Linked DNA regions of Bombyx mori. The protein of the gene in region 3 interacts with the protein of the main gene of each other region in a biochemical or structural test. Links are inferred from orthologs where the notes say so. Each region holds a gene or a part of one and is shown on either strand. Other genes may lie near its edges. The genes, in order: serine/arginine-rich splicing factor 1A; ubiquitin-conjugating enzyme E2; DNA topoisomerase I, mitochondrial.

Evidence for each region.
Region 1: the proteins of DNA topoisomerase I, mitochondrial (region 3) and serine/arginine-rich splicing factor 1A form a complex in vitro, tested with the Homo sapiens proteins (2 studies listed by BioGRID, with this or other methods). The link is inferred for Bombyx mori from reciprocal best matches to the Homo sapiens genes TOP1 and SRSF1.
Region 2: the proteins of DNA topoisomerase I, mitochondrial (region 3) and ubiquitin-conjugating enzyme E2 form a complex in vitro, tested with the Homo sapiens proteins (2 studies listed by BioGRID, with this or other methods). The link is inferred for Bombyx mori from reciprocal best matches to the Homo sapiens genes TOP1 and UBE2I.

What each region holds. Positions count from the first base shown.
Region 1 is NC_085122.1:429,836-434,069, forward strand, and holds the start of serine/arginine-rich splicing factor 1A, read right to left. Parts: upstream 2,866-4,234; 5' UTR 2,647-2,865; coding exon 2,468-2,646; intron 1,725-2,467; coding exon 1,361-1,724; intron 467-1,360; coding exon 390-466; intron 1-389. UniProt on the Homo sapiens protein: Plays a role in preventing exon skipping, ensuring the accuracy of splicing and regulating alternative splicing.
Region 2 is NC_085114.1:7,031,709-7,035,189, reverse strand, and holds ubiquitin-conjugating enzyme E2, read right to left. Parts: upstream 2,180-3,481; 5' UTR 2,013-2,179; coding exon 1,947-2,012; intron 1,876-1,946; coding exon 1,792-1,875; intron 1,668-1,791; coding exon 1,405-1,667; intron 1,181-1,404; coding exon 1,114-1,180; 3' UTR 603-1,113; downstream 1-602. UniProt on the Homo sapiens protein: Accepts the ubiquitin-like proteins SUMO1, SUMO2, SUMO3, SUMO4 and SUMO1P1/SUMO5 from the UBLE1A-UBLE1B E1 complex and catalyzes their covalent attachment to other proteins with the help of an E3 ligase such as RANBP2, CBX4 and ZNF451.
Region 3 is NC_085110.1:12,999,115-13,003,456, forward strand, and holds the start of DNA topoisomerase I, mitochondrial, read right to left. Parts: upstream 2,953-4,342; 5' UTR 2,713-2,952; coding exon 2,671-2,712; intron 2,365-2,670; coding exon 2,204-2,364; intron 2,123-2,203; coding exon 1,706-2,122; intron 1,532-1,705; coding exon 1,441-1,531; intron 1,245-1,440; coding exon 1,083-1,244; intron 901-1,082; coding exon 807-900; intron 737-806; coding exon 562-736; intron 391-561; exon of another isoform or gene 144-390; coding exon of another isoform or gene 1-143. UniProt on the Homo sapiens protein: Releases the supercoiling and torsional tension of DNA introduced during the DNA replication and transcription by transiently cleaving and rejoining one strand of the DNA duplex.

The DNA.
Region 1 (4,234 bases), on a different chromosome or scaffold from region 3:
GTTTTAATAGTACTAAGTTATCCAACACAATTGTTAATGTCCAAAGGTGGGCTGAGATAACAAAATCGATATATATAAAAATGAATTGCTGTTTGTTAGTCTCGCTAAAACTCGAGAACGGTTGGACCGATTTGGCTAATTTTGGTCTTGAATTATTTGTGGAAGTCCAGACGTTTAAAAGGTAAAATAAAATTTTGTTTTTCCTTTGATGTGTCCCCCGTTGGACGGATTCCTTTTGTTTGTTTTAAGTTTATTTTATACAATAGTTAGGTCTTTTATTTATCGATTGAGGCACTACGAAGTCTGCCGGGTCAGCTAGTTTAATCAATATATTTGGCCAATTAAATGATATAGTAGTCAGTTAATGTAGTAATGGTATGTAGTGGTACCTGTCACCGCCGCCGCCACCACCGCCACCGCCGCCACCGCCATAGTCTTCCTTCACACGTATATATGTCACCTCACCCTGGAAATGAATATTTAATAGACGTCTAAATCTTGCACTACATGACACTGCTTGCTTTTTAAATTTCTTGAGTTGATTGTAAAACGCTTTTACAGTGTAATATAGCTTTCTTTTCATTCATTTTATAATCTTCATCATCTATGACCATAAGGTCTGTAATATCAAGATTAAGAAAGTATGGTTCAAATTTGATCCATGGTTCAAATTTCTTTTGTAATATCAATATGAAAGCAAACTCAGTTTACTTAAGCTGAGATGATGTTTTGTTGCCTCACATCTCATTTTACATTCCATTTGTTCTTTTCAATCTCATATCAGTTTTTCTCAAACTGAAATTACTTTACCATAATTGACAAGTGAATTGTTTTTTAAAAAAAATATTTAACTGTATGTTGAAAGGACAATCTCATTTTTTATAATTCAGTAAACAAATTGGTAACAAGTATGGGCAGAAAAAAACATTGAAAAAAAAAAAAAAAAAAACTGGTATTGCAAATAATCAGAAAAAGGAGACAGCTTAGTCCAACCTAGCTAAAGAATTCAAAAGTTTGTTTTGCTTACTTTATTTACTTGAGTTTTACAGAATGCAATTTTGGACATTATAGATATCTACTGAGTTTGACACAAAATAACAGTTGTTGATTTTGAGCAGCTATTTGTAAATGAACAGTTTAAGCACTATCCCATGGTTTAATTTCTCCTTCATGAGCCTTAAACTTCTAACTAATTCAAATTAAACTATAAAAGTATTTGACACAATTGATTATCTTGAAACTTTTATGTCCACGTTGGGTAACAATGATAAAAAATTTGGGACAATCCACCAACAGTACTGTTCTTTCACATTACAGGTTATGTTTATAATTATTTTCAAATAAAGTGGAAGAAACTAACCTCATGACTCCTAAATCTAGAATCATCTAACTTTTTAACAGCATACTTCATATCTTCATGCCTCAAAAATTCCACAACACCAGATCCATCTTTAAAGGTGTCTGCAAAGCATACGTCGCCGGCCTCTCGCATATGGTCTTTGAGGTCCTGCCAGGAACCCGAGGGCGGTAAGCCGGTAACGAGCACGCGGTATTCAGAGCGTCGAGCGGGCGGACCACGTGCTGCCCCTCGTCCACCCCAACGGTCACCACCGCCTCGAGAACCACGAGAGCCTCCACCTCCACCTCCACGAGGGAACTCGACTCGAAGACGGTACCCATCATAGTCGTAACCATCCCTGGCTCTTACTGCATCATCTGCATCTCTGAATTCCAAAATAGATTTTATTAAAATAACTTGTCTCAGATTAATTTAGGTAGATATGACTGTATATTCTACTAGGAGTGAAACAAGGCAGGCTCTGAGCTGTGCACCTGGTATTCTTGACGTTCATTAGTGACAGTAACAACTCACCATGAAGTGGACATATCTAATAAAAGAACCAATCACACACAGTTTTGACATCACTCATTGTGTAATTTTAATTTAATATGTTGTGTGTTTATATGTGTGTTATAATTTTATATAATTGGCAATAATCAGCAAATTTTATTGATTTTAATTTTTCTGAAATAATTAGAAATCATAGGTGAATATTATTAGATTTATGGATACAGGTGCTCTGGCAGACTATTAAATCTGTGCCACCCTTCATATATTTTAATATGTGCCAACTTTTAAACTAATTAGTTGTCAATTAATCATAAAATAATAAATGATTAATTGTTAATTTAAAGTCCCATTTTCATTTATCAGTAAAAATGTTTACTTAATCTGTATCTGTATCTGTGGTGTGGAAAATTATATTAACGCTGAATAAAATTGTTCATTTCGCTATAGTCGGGTACAGATAGCGGTGTATGCGGCATAACGTATGCGCTCTTTTAAATCTTCTTCAAAGGCAGCTGAACATTCCGTCCACCTGACACGGGATGATTATCGCTACTCAGACATGGACAACGTTAGTAATATAGATAGCCCGTTTCTCTTTTCGAATTCAACACTCACCTGGGATCCTCAAATTCCACGAACGCGAATGGCGGACCTTTTCTGTTCTTTAGGTCAACGAACGTTACTTTTCCGAACTTGTAAAACAAGTCTTGAATATCCTTTGTCCTTATGTCCGGTGGTAAGTTTCCAACATATATACGACACTCATTTCTGTTGCTACTGCTTCCACCCGACATTATAGCTAAAGAATATTACTATTGCTTAAACGTTTACTTATTATTATGTTGGCTTCATCGACTAATTTCACCAATCCGACGCTTTACTGTGTGTAATTGAAAGTCGGGCAATATGGCGTCAAATGTCAATGTTCCGATTTTGGATCACGGTGGATTTGACAGAAAAGAAAACGATAATCATGAAAACGGAAGTGGAAAAACCTGGTCATAGATTATAAATATGTGGCTGTATAATTTTTACAAAAGTCCGTGTGAAAGGATTTATACAAAGATGTGTATGTAGTCGTCCGGCACATTTTAAAACTAAACACCATAAAATTGAATAATTAATCTGAAATGTAGTTTGCTTTTGGTGATATCAGGATCAGGACACTTATCATTCTTTCCTGCTTGTCCGGAAGTTTCTGTGTCGAAATCAGTACCTATAGCGTGTTTTATAGGTCTTTCTAATTTCGAGCCCGCTGCCCTTCACTTTTGTTAAATGGAAATTAATATATAGGCTGATCAATATTGGCAGTTTCGAGTTATGTTAGTAACATTAAAGTATGGGTTTTCCCATATAAAATCAGGTAGGAACTTACTAGAGAACTTGTACTTGAACTTGTGCTTAAGGTGTCATCTTCTTGAATGGATTAAATAAAATAAAATAAAATAAATAATACAATAAGGCTATGCGTCATGATAATCGCCTTATTGGTGCCACCGTTGATTACTCCTCGAATTCTAATCATGCAGGAGCCAGTCACCGTTGATGCCCTAGACACGTCCTTACGGATCCATCAGATCCAATAACCTTTGCATTAGAAGCCTTCAGCTCTAACACTAGTAGCAGGCTCAGGGACCCCGGTAACCGTACTCATAGAACTCGACAAAGAGTTCGACGTGCAACCTAATCTATGTATCAGCCCGCTGAGTTTCTCGTCGGATCAGCTGTCAAAGCAGCTACTCTTGAGTTGATAAGTCTCCTTCGGAGGCGCTCGGGCAGCTGTTAAGTAATCCCACCCCTCCTGGCTGCGCTTTTGCTCACCTAACTGTCCTGGTGAAATTAGTGTAGGGGAAGCTTAACGACCGAGGGAAGATCTTCCATCGAGCTGGTGATATTGCTCGGTAGACCGACGGTCCGAATGCTGTTGTTCGGAACTTGTATATATGCGCTTTAACTTGAAAATGTCGTAAGCGAGATTCAGACATCTGTCAATTATCTTGCGTTGTATGATGGCTACCCGCCACATCACTCCCCTCCGAGACTGGAGGTCGTGTCATTTTTAGTTAGCGTTGTCCATGCTGAGATTAGCTTGCAAGGGCCAGTGCTGCTCGAAGCCTGCGGTGAGTCGAGGCTGAGCTTGAATTGCTGCGTGATTGTCGCTAGTGCTGCTCGTAGTCTGCGGTGAGTCGAGACTGAGCTTGAATGCTGCGTGATGAGGCAGTGTAGGTGCGTGCCGTAGGAGCAGGAAGCGCGGTGAGTCAGCTGCGATGGTCCTATCGAGGCTGCGATGCTGGCTTGCTGTGGGACTACTGTCGATGACTTGCTTTTATCTGCGAGAATTGTGGTAGCCGAAGTTCTTGATGCGCTGATGATGAAGTGTGA
Region 2 (3,481 bases), on a different chromosome or scaffold from region 3:
GGCGATATGTTGAGGGACCGTCGCATATTCGAAATTGCGGAAAAGGACTAATTGGTTGTTGATTTGAAAATGGGTTATTAAGTGTATAATCTATGGGGTGGGCGTCCCTTAAACTCGTATAACAAAATCAAGTCTTCGAACTCATATCTCTAAGTTAGTCCTGGCATTATTTGGCAAGTTCAATGGGTTCTAATAATAGAAAATACCATATTAAATAGTTTCAGTTATTACTTAAAACTAGTTGGGTCGTGATCGTATAGTTCGCCTGTCTCTCACCTTTTGTATTTTGAGGTGCCTATTCACTACTAGATGGAGGTTTTTGTAGCTAATTTTTAATTATATCTGTCATCAAACTAAATAATGATTGCGTTTAAGCTGGAATAAAACAAATATTTGTTTAACTCCCAACTTTAATGAATATCAGCATGTGAAATGAAATATCTGATGTCAACTAACCATTTTGATAAATAAATAAAGTTATGAATTATTTGTTTTCCAAATAGTTACTCTGAACGGCTGATTAGAAAGCGCTGACTTTGAATAGTGAATGATTGTGAAAATAATCTGAAAAAATTTTAACTTAAAAATACACAGTAAATTGTAGAATTTAAATATTTATTGTTCATTAAGTCTAACATAAGATACAAAAATATTTTAAAATAACATAGATTCGAAATGTAACCGTATATTTTGAGAATTACAGCAACATGTTTGTATATTCGGTTGTAATTAAAATCTTTGATGCTTTTTGCTTGTTAACATTTCTGTTATTAACTTAACAAATAAATAAATACAAGTTAGCCATAAAATGATGAATTCATAATGGCTTCAAAATTTTCCAGAATTAAAATAACTAACATTAGCATAGTGTTGATTTGGTCTGTTATTAAAAACTTGCATTTACTTCAAAATTACTTAAATCTATAGTTTAAACCATCACTGCGTACTGTGTGGATTAAATACTTTTGGAACTGGAAAATACCATGAAGATAATGTTATAGCACAATCTCCAAAATAGCGTAGTGTTGCTGTTTTAATCTCCTGTCTTCACATTTATACTGCTTTTTAGGCAATGGCTTAGCTCATTAACGCTCCATTGTCCCATTCTGATATTTACTCAGCAGCAGCCATTGCACGTGCCTGCGCTCTTACTCGCTTGTCATACTCTAGCCGATTTTGACTGTAACAATAAAATTTTATTTAATATTGAGGCATACAAGTTTTGTAGGTCACAGTAATTAAATATTAGTATCACAATATGTGGATAGTTTCGTGATATATTTTCAGTAATATAACAAATACATATATTACAAAAAAATTCAATTTTTACAAAATTAAACATTATAAAACATAACAGTTCTTTAAATGCAATACGGGTATTGAAAATGTTTATGTTTAACTTACCAATAAATTGTGTAGGCTTCAGCTTGCGCTGGATCTTTTACGTTAGGCTCATTGAGAAGATCTTGAATACCCAACAAAATTTGCTTTATTGTGATTGCTGGACGCCAATCTTTTTCTTCATCAAGCAGTGACAAGCACACCGTACCTGATGGATACACATTGGGGTGGAACAGTGGTGGTTCAAATTTGCATTTTGGAGGACTTGATGGATAATCATCTTTGAAGATCATACGTAGTTTATACAGCCCACCTTCCCATGGAGTCTAAAAAGAAAAACCGGTTATAGTTTTAGAACTTCTACTACCGTAATTTACTATGCTTAAACTCAATAACTTTAAAACTGCATCAATAAGAAACAAGAAGTTTTCACGATATAGAAATACTAACCCCCTTTTTACCAGGTATCGCACATTCCCAAGTCATTAAATTCAATGAACCATCTGGATTCTTCATAGGCCTCGCGACAAAACCCTGAAATAGATGAATAGCTTATTTATTTACGAAAACATAAATCAATGTGTTTTCAACAAACAAAAACTTACAAAGGGATGGTCCTTACGCCAAGCTTTCCGTTCTTCAGCTAAACGTGCACTTGCTATCCCTGACATTTTCTACAAAAATAACTCGATTTATGAGCCGAGCTTCAATCAAGGGCTATTCTTAATGTTGGGCGATAGATTTTACTTATAATCGAGCTAAAACTAGAACGAAATTACAATAAAAATAAATGAAAAAGCGCGAAATAGCGTCCCTTAATTTCAGAGCGGTCGACAAAATTGTAGTATAGACTACAGATAAAAAATGAAAATAATCGATTCACTTTTTTTTCTTTTCTGCTGTAGGAAGTTAATAGTGTTGCTGTTGACATTTAATATTAATTTAATTTTAGCAGTAAAAACGGGTCTTAATTACGACGATAGCCGAAATTCAGTCTAATTAAATGTTTCAAAAAAATTACACAAATATTTATGAGCTGTTTTTAAAATGCAATTAATCTCTCTTTTATCTTTTTTTGCAAATGAAGATACCACAATTAAAATTACTTTTGCGACTTAGGAATGACTCCGTGTTAACGAAAATTGTAAGACCAAAATAGGTATTGGACGAAATGGCTAAGGAAGCCGGACACAATGTAATGCGCCTTCCACCCTACTATTGTCAATGCAATGCCATAGAATCTATTTGGGCGCAAATTAAAGGTAAGGATTTAAATAAATGTATTTAATAATTTATTTTTACCTATTTTAATATTTTATCTGTTGCTATATTAACACGTAAACCTTTATTTTAGATTGCGGCTCGTAAAAATATCGACCCACTTAGGGCCGGATTTAGACTCCGCTCCTGGGCAAAAAATCCGCCCCAATACTGGAATTTTACCAAAAATTATAGTTTATAACTATTTTTTTCAAAATTAAATAAGTAATTTCTTGCAGAAACTTTATCATATGTTATATATTCCAAAAACATAAATAAATATTTGTTTTTTTTCTAACAATTATAAATTTTGCACTAAGGGTGACTCATAAATATTAAATGAAAAAAAAAATTAAATTTCTTTAAGTCCAGAAAATGGAAAAATCGATTATTATTTTAAATGTTCAAGGAAATAAATTGACTAAATAATTTTGATTATGAATTTTTACCTAAAGTGCCAAAATTATAATTCACAAATAATGGATGAATTCAATTTTTTGTATTATCAATTAAACAGAAAATGATTAATTAATAGAATTAATTTCAAAAATTTTACTTCCAAAATTTTGCCGCCCTAAAAAATTGCCGCACTGGGCACTTGCCCCGACTACGCGACTGCCCCTAGTGTAAATCCACCACTGAGCCCACCATTTACTGCAAACAAAATGCTGTCATTGTTGCAAAAAGCTTGTGATAGTGCTACTGCCGCGAATTAGGAAGGTTAGGTTTTACGAACAAAAAATTAGTTTTTCGCTGATTGGAACAGAGACACACATATCGATACCATCATAGATAACCAAATTATAATAAATACCTTGTGTTTTTATCGCCTGAATCCCACTCCCGACTAGGTATCCTTCTGTCGAGGGTGACATTCCGC
Region 3 (4,342 bases):
TTGCTTCTTGGAAATCGTCGCTTGTGTCTGGTAAAAACAGAACTTAATGATACTTTACGTAAAAATGGACTGTTATTCCACACAATAACACTCACAACTTTAAACATAATCCATAAAACCAATATAACCTCAAAAAAGAACATTCACAATTACATATCGAACTAAAAATGATTTGACGAATTTTATCCAGCTTAATTTGATCACTTATGTTTCGAATTATTTAAAATGTTTGAGGGGTAGCCTCTATCAACGTCAAATGCTATCAAGATGTTATGTGACAAATTATTTCTGACAATGCTTGAATTAGGTTGGATATGTCACGCCATCTATTGGTAGAAATTAGATATGAAGTGTCACTAAAGCAGTTACTTCACAGAGTTTAAGATTAAATATTTAATGTTAAAAAAGTTCTACTGAGCAATCTGAAGTCACAACAAATTAAAGTTTGCCTTGTGATATTATTGGTTTTAAAAGTAGACAAAACATTGGATAATTTGGCAATGTCAGACTATAAATAATCGTTTACAATATTTTAATGAGCAAAAAATAGCCTTTAATTACCATTTCCAGACTTGTTCTGTTTCTGTGTCTTGTTTTTTCTTCCGTTTATTGGGACTGATACCATCATCTATGGGCTCAGATTTCACCTTAACTGATTTAGTTTTTTCAGAACTCTTCTTTTTCTTTTTAGGTTTTTCATCTTCTTCATAATCATCATAATCTTCATAAGTCTCTTCTGTAAACATTTCCAAAAGGTTCAAAAAGCTGTTTATAATTAATTTCTAGAATAATGTTAAGACTTTTACCTTTTTTTACTTTTTTCTTAGATTTCTTTCTTTGTAGTAATGGAATGTCTTCTTCACCATCACTAACATGGCGTTTTTTAGCTTTTCGTGCAGTCTATAAAATAATATATTCATTTTATTAGATAACTATATATTTAGTAAAAATAAGAACTGTTACTGTATGATAAAAATAGGAAATAAGGACAAGGATGAGTAAAAAAATTAATATTATAATAAATTTGGGTATTAAGTTGGTAGTTATTAAGTATAAATGGATTATTCTTGAATTCAACTTACTAGTGGTATATCCTCTTCACTTTCATCATCTGGAGGCAGTTCAGAAAGTGGCTCATCTTTAAATTGGGACATAGAGTAGTCACAAGATGAGACAGTTGTGTTAGCTCCAGCATATCCTTCATCACTATCATCTTGTTCACGTTTTAAGACTGGTTGATCCACCTTAACAATAAAAAACTAAATTATTATTTTGGCCCTCATGGACAATGGCATCCAAATAAATAGACAACTACCAAAAAAACTCATTATGAGAATGGCAGTACTATAGGGTTTAGTGCATATTTGGAGAATGATTTTATATTTATGCTTTTCAGACAATGTTGGAATGCAATAAGAAAATAATAGCCCACATACACACCTCCATAGGTTCATCTTTTATGACATTCTGAGACTCAGATTTTATCTTTTCATTTCTTTCACTTGAACTTTTCTCCTTGTTCTTGCTGGAGCTGAAACCAAAATTGCAAAATACATTCAATTTGTAGTTTAAGATGCAGGTGCATTCATTACAAAAATTTTTAACCAAATGTTACTGACTTTTGACAACTATTGATGGTGTCAAATATATATGACTGGATACTGTCAGTTTTAAATTCTAATTAAAAATACTTGTCTATATATACCTGTTTTTATCTTTTGAACTGGAGTGCTTATCTTTGTCCCTATGGTGTTTATCCTTGTCACTCCTGTGTCGATCTTTATCTTTTTCATCTTTACTTTTAGATTTATGATCTTTATCCTTTGATGAGCTTTTGTGTTCTTTATCTCTGGATGATGATGATGATGATGTCTTTTTGCTATCTGAACTGCTTTTATTCTTGTCTTTTTCATCACGCCTATCTTTGTCACTTTTTGATTTTTCTCTATGTTTGTCCTTGTCACTGCGGTGTTTATCTTTGTCACTACGTTCTTTATCTCTGCTACTGTGATCTTTATCACTTCTGTCTCTCTTTTCACTGTTGTGTTCTTTATCTTTGCTGGAAGATTTATGGGAGCTGCTGTGCTCTTTACTGCTTGAGTGTTTGTCTTTGTCCTTGTCTCTTTAAATACAATACTTATAAAACTTACAATATTTCATAGTGAAAACGTTAATTTCATACAGAATATTCTAGAATGCTTACCTGCTAGAGCTGCTGTGCTTGGACGAGCCCTTGTGATCGCGATCTTTGTCGCGATGCTTGTCTTTGCTAGAAGATTTGTGGCTTGATTTGTGTTTGTCAGAGCTACTGTAGCCGTTATGCATGCCGTTCACGTGTTCATTTTTATTTCCATTTACCTTTCCCTGTGAAAGAGATCGAAATTTCTCTTAATTTTTAACATAACATTAACCCCAAATGTATATTTGTTCATATTTTAGAAAAGACGCTATGTGGCAGTTTGTGTTTTTTTTTCACATTTATTCTTGGCGTGTCAAACGACGCTACGTTCTTTCTGCTTGAACATTATAGTTGACGCCATATTGGGACTTAGAAAATTTTGCTTCGTGTTGTAATTTTCATCAGTAAGGACACGAAACCTTAAGCAATAGAAGCTTATTGAATACGTAGAACGATTAATATCATAATAACAAGTCTAAATAATAACTTACAGATTCACAATCATTATCGCTGGCCGGGTTTTCGACACTCATTTTGCCTACGTATCACAACGTTTGTTCGAATAAGATTACATGAGGCCGGCCGAAAACGAGCGCAAAATCTAAGTGTCCAGAAGTGACGAATGCGCATGCGTCGTTGCTCATACGATAAAAGGGAACTTCACTCCGCTTGGTTCAATGTTCTGGTTTGTACGAACTTCAAGTTGACAGTTCAGCTTTTTAAAAAACTGAAATGGCAATGGAATGTATGCCATCTAAGCCTTCATCTAAGATTCAATCTAAAGTATTTATACTTGGATACTTAGTCATTATACGAAATTCGTGTAACTTCCAGACGCAGAATATGTGTAATAATAGTATAGTAGGTTCTGCGTATGTAGAGAAACTATAATTACGGTACCGTGGGTAATGCTCACTTTAAAATTACTACGTCTATTTGTACATGCTTAAATGTCAATAATTGAAGATCTGCATGCATGCTATCGTAACTTTAAACCAATTCATAACTTTATAGAAGATTTCTGTAAACTTCACAAACCAAGATTGTCAATAAATATAAGATATAAGATTGTCGATAATTATTTATTGGATTGGAAGGAATTGGAGGAGGCCTATGCCAAAAGGCACACCGAACTTAGGGACCTCTTGTAACCCTATGTTTAGGAATAAAAAGGCTATTATTATTATTATTATTAATTATTTATTAACAATCTTGATTTTATGTAAACTATCAGCTTCTCGACACTAGTATTTTCTTCGGCTATCGCAAGTTTTCTCTTCTTGTTCGTTGTTCGCAAAGAACTTTGTATACAAAAAAAGACTCGTCGACTGCTCAGCTACGAATTCTCAAGTTCTTTGGGCACATCTCCAGAAAGGAGGACACCGTGGAGATACTTTTCGTAAATGGCCTTGTAGAAGGCAGAATACCTCGATGTCTACCCCCACGGGCTGCATTGTCGTCATCACCAGCACTACGAAAGCCACCGCTACGACAGCTACGACTACTCTGCCAAGAGTAGCCTAGCTGTGTTCGGGAGAATTTGTCAACACTAGCCCTACCAAGTGCAGTGCTTTGCAGAATCTACCACTCGATCAGAATCGCGACCCAATGAGAAGATCCGGCAAGAAACTCAGTGGACTGTTTCTATGGGTTAGTTCGCTCGTCGAACTCTTCGTCGTAACGACAGTAACCGGTGCTTGAGGGACCTAAAAGCACCGAGAGTGGATCCGGGGATCCGACAAGACACGTTTCGGGCTACGATGACTTTGCGTTGTCCTATCGCTTGGGTCGGATATACATATTTTGTATATCTAACTAGCGGCGGTCACGATAAGAGGGTTATCGTGTAGCGCTTTCTTGAGTCGTAGATATCATTAAACTACTTTTACGATTTAATTTCTATTATCATTTTATTCTTAACATTGTCTGTTTGACTTTTTTTACTATTTTTTTTTGTGGTAATTAGACTTATAATAAAATTGAATCTATTGGTGCTTACTGTACAGACTAGCTTGTGCAGTTTACCTATATGGAGCAATGTAATCATGCAATGTAATGCAAAAACATAGGGGCAATTCTCATTAATTATTTTTGTGCAGGAAGGATTACTGGTGGCCTTGAAGCCTTTTCAGTTTCACCACGACAAGTGGGCGAGTAAGCCAG